Saccharomyces cerevisiae S288C: one gene and its partner. The gene in region 1 interacts genetically with each later gene. Each region holds a gene or a part of one and is shown on either strand. Other genes may lie near its edges.

Evidence for each region.
Region 2: mutations in FTR1 (region 1) and YGR122W together harm fitness more than expected from each alone (negative genetic interaction), as found in Saccharomyces cerevisiae (2 studies listed by BioGRID).

What each region holds. Positions count from the first base shown.
Region 1 is NC_001137.3:459,996-463,380, forward strand, and holds FTR1 (high-affinity iron permease FTR1), read right to left. Parts: upstream 1,746-3,385; coding exon 531-1,745; downstream 1-530. Other genes in the region: putative ubiquitin-specific protease UBP5, read right to left, coding at 1-228; YER145C-A (uncharacterized protein), read right to left, coding at 2,391-2,828; RNA-binding protein LSM5, read left to right, coding at 2,590-2,871; cohesin-loading factor complex subunit SCC4, read right to left, coding at 2,973-3,385. UniProt on the Saccharomyces cerevisiae protein: Permease for high affinity iron uptake.
Region 2 is NC_001139.9:731,837-735,592, reverse strand, and holds YGR122W (uncharacterized protein), read right to left. Parts: upstream 1,659-3,756; coding exon 450-1,658; downstream 1-449. Other genes in the region: YGR121W-A (uncharacterized protein), read right to left, coding at 1,966-2,181; ammonium permease MEP1, read left to right, coding at 2,666-3,756.

The DNA.
Region 1 (3,385 bases):
GAGAAACCCCTTTGACAACCGGTTTGCATCTTCTTTAGGGGCCTGCATGGTTATATCCTGGCATGCGTCCACATAACTAGACCATATTTCTGCGCATTCTTGGAGCAAAGGCAGACACTCTTGTGGCACGTCGTCATCATCAAGAAACTTCTGAACTAAATGCCTAAGCCTGCCGAACCGCTCTTTAGCAGATTCGACAACCTCACTTAAGGCTTGTTCTGAGCCCATTACGCTTGTGCCTATTTGTGTAGAGAGATAATAAAGAAAGGACTCCACATACGTTGGAGAATACCTAGCAACTAAATATAGCTGGTGTTTACTTGATGTGTTGAAGTGAGGCGCAAGGAAAAAAGAAAAAAAATCAATGCCCGGTAGATCAATTGGACCAGGGGTTCTTGTTTTGCGACGCCGTACAGACAAGGCCAACTTTATAAAAACGATATTAGAAATTATTGTATATATGTATATAAATGTAGTATTTTTATCAACAGAAAATAGGTGGAAAACTCCCACCCTGTGCTAGACTTCATTCAAAGAGAGTCGGCTTTAACGTGGAGGACTTCCTTGTCTGTGGCGACGTTTTGAGACGAGGAATGACTGGTAGTTTGCTCGGGAAGTTCGTAGTTCTCTTGCACATTGATCTCACCATCTTCATTGAAGTTGATGTTCTCCATCTTGGCAAACAGTTGTCTCTTTTGCTCTTCCGTCAACTCCTGCTTTTTCTTGTTCTTGATCCAGTATCCTGGGTTCAAGTGTTTCAATTGTAAGTTTTTGGTGAAAGGCAAGTGACCACGCCTTTCTTCGAATATCATTAAACTCAACACAATGATAAGAACCAACCAATAGATGTTGTAACAAAGCATGGATGACAAGTAGCCGGTGTTCTGCCATCCAAGCAAAGCATTGAAGATATCCCACCCATTGTCCAGTTCTGGGTTGCAACAATTGACATGGTAAACGGCCTTTCTGATGTTATAAGACCCATTACCATCACCGCCTTCGGAAGCATCACCACCACTGGCAAGGTTGAATCTGTAATTTTCAAAGTACCACGCACCACGAGAGAAAAGACCGGCGGAGATCAGGTACAAGATCGAAGTAGACAAAATCAAGAAAATCTGCAGCGAGGATTTCGAAGCACCATAGTACAACAAATACCCAACAAGACCACCACATATCAAACCAACCACAACGGGCAATGGGTAAGCAGAGGCGTGCGAGCCCTGTGTGGTAATACCTGCACCGGCAACGAACACAACAGCTTCCAAACCTTCTCTCAAGACAGTAATAAACGGCAAAAGGAACATAGCATATCTTCTACTCAAGAACCCAATCTTGAAATAGTCTCTCTTACGGTGAGGAATCTCCACCAACGACCGCGCAATCTTCACTCTCCACTTACTCTGCATCTTATTCATTCTCAACATAGGAATACCCATCATCGAGATCATTATCGTCGCAATCATACAAAAGATACCTTCCCACAAGTCTTCCGCGCTTCCGAAAATATCCTTCTGCAGCGAATAGTACGCACCGATGAAACCTGCACCGATGGCCAGACAAATGATGAACCCGAGTAACACACCGACCCAAACCTGAATCCTTAATTTACGGTACAGCGCCCGGTCATGTTCCCCGATTGCCTGTTTCAAAAACGATAGCAGCACGGAAATAACAATCACTGCTTCCAAGCACTCTCTGAACACAACGAAGAAAACGGCCACGTTAAACACTTTGTTAGGCATGGCGGGAAGTATATGTGTGATGACCTGCTGAGAGAAGATTTCGACAACGTACAATCCGTCGTGTTATGTATTTTTTTGCTCACATTGAGCATTTTATATAACTAAAAGCTCAAGGTCGAACTACAGCCCATCGCTTCCACCGGGCCTTGCAACACCAACTTAGAAATCGGGTGCATTCATCTACGCTGTGCAGAGAATGAAATGCGCACCTTCTTACTGCTGCGACGGTGCTCGGCACGGCTTACGCGGGCGGGGGAAGGAAATAGCGGCCTGGCGTGAGTCGGCAGTCAGCGGCGGGCTCACTGTACTCGCTCGTTTAATGCACCAGCAGTATTCGCGCACTTAATAATAGTATTTCTGCACCCTGGCCTGGAAAGAATGCTCGATGCGCCCTGGTTGATTGGCGCAGAGCGTGTGTCAGTGCCGGACCCGATTTCTTTTTTTCTACACGTTGGTCTGATGTCTCAGGAGTTAGTAGTGACCGTGGTCAAGAAAAAAACAGGACGAAAAATTGTTGAGAACGTATACGTATATTGTATTCTTCTTTTTTTTCTTTGCTGCCCTTTTATTATCTATTTCATTTTTTAACCAGAGGCAATCGTAAGAGAGAGATAATATAGCCCTTTTTGGTCTTTTTTGGCACCTTCAGCCGGACCCTGCTCTTTTATTACCCGGATGCTCGGGTTTTGTCTTTGCATCCGGGTAGCAAAACAGAATACTTGCTTTCTTATTGAAGTAGAAAAAATACAGAGAAAGCGAAAAAGGCTTCCTTGGCGGATAGATGGTCTCACAACAAGCATAGCGTATACACGTGCACTCACAAGCATACACAGAAGCGCGCAAAATGAGTCTACCGGAGATTTTGCCTTTGGAAGTCATAGATAAAACAATTAACCAGAAAGTGTTGATTGTGCTGCAGTCGAACCGCGAGTTCGAGGGCACGTTAGTTGGTTTCGACGACTTCGTCAACGTTATACTGGAAGACGCTGTCGAGTGGCTTATCGATCCTGAGGACGAGAGCAGAAATGAGAAAGTTATGCAGCACCATGGCAGAATGCTTTTAAGCGGCAACAATATTGCCATCCTTGTGCCAGGCGGCAAAAAGACCCCTACGGAGGCGTTGTAAAAAGGCAAAAATTAACGCGAATTTGTATAGTGCATCTAAAAAAAATAATTAAGTATAAAAATAGATAAAGGAAATCAAGTGTTTCTTTTTTTTTTTTTGGTTTATTGTTTGACACTGGTGATTTGCTTAACCAGCGCCTCCAGCTTCGCGTTCGTGAGAGCGACGTCTTTTCCCCGCATCGCCACCGTACAATTCATTAAATGCCATATTCCGATCACGTATTGGACCTTGCGCATGCCGCCCTGCTGGCGGCACATATCGAAACACTTTGCTGAAATCGCATAGATCTCGCCCAGATCGTGTTCGAGCATTCGACCGCCTAAGTAGTTTACCAGTATTTGCAGCAACAGAGCCTTCTTCAATTTGAAGCGGTTGTCCGCAACGGCTTCTCCGGCAACGAACTTGTTGCTAGAGTAGAACTCGCGGAGCTTCGACACGTACTCGGCGCGCTGCTTGTCACTACATGGCAGCGGGTTCCAACTGAACGGCTCGAAATGGCTGAAAAGCCATAGGA
Region 2 (3,756 bases), on another chromosome or scaffold:
TGGTAGTATGACTACTAGTTGATAGACGATAGTTGAATTTTTATTCCAAAACTAATATAATAGCCTTTACCAACAATGGAAGCCCAACAATTATCAAATTATTCACTAAATTCTACTATGAATATTAAAAAAAGCTTTTGAAGTACATCTTTATTAAAAAATTCTGATCATTACGTATACATAAAAAAAAAAGGAAAGTTCTTCTCAAAAATAATATACTGCTGACAAGAGCACCAGATCGGTAGACTATAATTGATTCTCACTCCAACACACATAATTATATTAGTAAATAATGCCATTGTTTGCAGTGGTTAGCCGTGATTAGTAGATAGTGGTTTCCTTATTCTAACATGTGTATATTTTTATGCAAAATTCATAGTAGAGTAGACCTTAAAAATATTATTCATATAGACTATTGACCTCTACGTTCGAACGGCGTTTGATTCAATTCAAAAATAATTACCGCAATTGTGGGTTGCATTATTTGAGTCTGCAAATGTAAGATGTCCATCTTGGAAACTCCATACAGTGCCTTCAATATCTGACGATTTTCCCCTGGGGAAAAGCTCCTTCAATTTAGAAACGTCGGTTTCAACCGTTTTGAAGGAATAATTCTCATTGGTTGTCTGGTATCTGTACCTTAACAGTATCGTTAGTGGGATAACAAAATCGTCTAATGAAGATTTCAATAACGGCATCATGTACGCTTTGGATGAAAATGGCACCTTCTTCTCAAATATCCGTTGGTTTTTTAAAGTAGACCCATGTATTTTCCTTTTAAACGACATCTTTATAAGATCCCTCTTCTTTGTAATATCGGTTGAGGATAAAATGTCCAACTCTTTTAGTTGCGAATTGGGTACTATATTTAACAGTTTTTTGATCGATTCTTGGAGCATCCCAATGGCAATTCCGCACTCATCATTGTTGTATTGGTTGATTGATAGGAAGAGATAGGTCAAACTCTGTAAATAATTCATAAATAATGCGTCCACTATACGGCCTCCTTGGCATTGCGAAGCAGTGCTATAAGATCCAATACAAAGCTTAGCGTAAAAGACACTGGACTTGCCTAGCTCTTCCAATTCTTGAGGCTCAAGGTCCGCAACAGCATCCTTGCTGATTTTTGATCTTAGTTTAGACAGTGCTAAAACGACAATCCCTAGTTGTTGCAGCAATTGAAACTCTAATGATAGCTGATTAAGGACGTTGAGAACCTGCATCTTTTGGCAATCATTAGCTGTGTTTATTTGAAAATTCTTTCCAAGAAAGCAGATTAAGCCTAGACCTCTCTTTAGATAGGTCCCGCTTGTTGTCCATAAGTTATTTGACGCTTGTGAAGATTCATAAGCTCTGTACAATGTTTCAATACCGATGTCTTGATAAAATACGGCAACATTGATTAACGCAATCGCTATCTCCTCTTCAATGAGAGCGGCGTCATTATTAGCTTCGTACCTGTGGGTTAACAAACCCTCTGTGTATTTTAGCCACGTATCTATACATGTAATGCTGTCAGCTTTGGACGAGGAACTGTTCAGTGAATTTATGCAATTATTTCGCAGTATGATTAAATCATTAGGTATGGAAGTTGTTATTTTGCTGCTGCCAGATAATTTATAGGGAAGTTTCTTTGTAGACATTGCATTCTCACGCATGATTTATTTTGTTAGAGCTACTTTTCACTTTAAAGTTCAACCTTTGAATAACCAGTTCTCGATTATACGTTTTTTCTTACAGCCGGTTTACGTCAGCGCAGGAAAATTGAAAACTATACTATTCAATACATAGAACGTAACACAATGGCGTCCCCTCAAAAGTGTACACTTCTTCAAGATGTTACTGCGGCTACATGCAACACCCCTAGAGCTATTTGTAAGGGAAGACAAGATCTCAAGTGTTACCACAGCCCGTAATTGAGTTCGGCACTATTCGAGCGCACAAAAAATCCCGTACTGTTTTTTTTCAGATAAGAAAGACTGAGCCTATATAAACACTACCTGAACCATTTTTAAGATAAAAGTTATATACGATAGAGTTATCCCCTCTTAATAATTGATCAAGAACCTCTGAAGCACAAAAGGGAGCATAAGAGCACTTAGGGACAAACGTATTTCTTTCCCCCACTCCCCTTTTTCCCTTTGCGATGCACATCCATAACTTGTACTTGTGTCTTGACATTCTTCAAAATCAACATGGCGATGCTCTTCTACGGTTGTCCTTTGCCACGAACTTTGTTTTGCGCCTCCCCTCCCTTTGTCAGGCTGAGTGCAAAAGAAAAGGCCCTGGTTGCTTATCTCTGCGGACACGCGCCCCTCTTATTGGATGAGACATCTCAGAGATTGCGATAACGATAAGATTCACAATTGCTACAGACACCCTTGTGTGACATCTTATGGCTATGTAAGCACAGAAGAGAAGAAGAAAGAAATGACAAAGTATTGATGGAAGATGTTTTTCCTGAAAAAAAAAAAAAAAAAAAATCGGAAAAGTGGTGTAGGCTTCTATAGCACCTTCTGCTTACCAGTCGATAATGCAGTTCCAGAATAAGATACTTAAAAGGTAGTTTATTTATATAGGCGCTCTTGTAACTTGTTTAGGCTTATGATCAGAGAATTATTTTAGTAAACATAACTGCAGTACGGATTCTTATACTGTAGAAACTATGGAGAGTCGAACTACAGGGCCTTTAACGACTGAAACCTACGATGGCCCCACTGTGGCCTTCATGATATTAGGTGCCGCCCTAGTATTTTTTATGGTGCCCGGATTGGGATTCTTGTACTCCGGATTGGCAAGAAGGAAGTCTGCACTAGCACTAATCTGGGTTGTATTAATGGCGACTTTGGTCGGTATACTGCAATGGTATTTCTGGGGTTACTCTCTAGCTTTTTCAAAGTCCGCTCCGAATAATAAATTCATTGGGAATCTAGATTCGTTTGGCTTTAGAAACGTGTACGGAAAAAAATTCGATGAAGATGCCTACCCTGAGCTCGCGTATGCAACCTTCCAAATGATGTTTTCGTGCGTCAACTTAAGTATTATCGCTGGCGCCACTGCCGAAAGAGGCAGGCTGCTACCGCACATGGTTTTTCTCTTTATTCTAGCTACCATTGGATATTGTCCAGTGACGTATTGGATTTGGTCACCAGGTGGTTGGGCATACCAATGGGGAGTCCTCGATTGGGCAGGCGGCGGCAACATTGAAATATTAAGCGCTGTTTCCGGGTTTGTTTACTCTTGGTTTTTGGGCAAAAGAAATGAAAAGTTACTGATAAATTTCAGGCCTCATAATGTTTCATTGGTCACTCTAGGCACATCCATACTGTGGTTTGGCTGGCTGCTATTTAATTCTGCATCCTCATTATCCCCAAATTTGAGGTCAGTTTATGCATTCATGAATACATGTCTCAGTGCCATTACTGGTGGGATGACGTGGTGTCTTCTGGATTACAGATCGGAGAAGAAATGGTCGACAGTTGGTCTGTGCTCCGGTATCATTTCTGGGCTGGTGGCTGCAACGCCAAGCTCAGGCTGTATAACCCTTTACGGTTCACTTATTCAAGGCATTGTGGCGGGGGTAGTGTGTAACTTTGCGACGAAGTTGAAATACTACGCTAAAGTAGATGATGCCATGGACATTCTAGCTGAGCACGGGGTTGCAGGCGTAATAGGACTAATTTTCAATGCCCTTTTTGGAGCAGACTGGGTCATTGGTATGGATGGCACTACAGAGCACGAGGGCGGCTGGGTAAC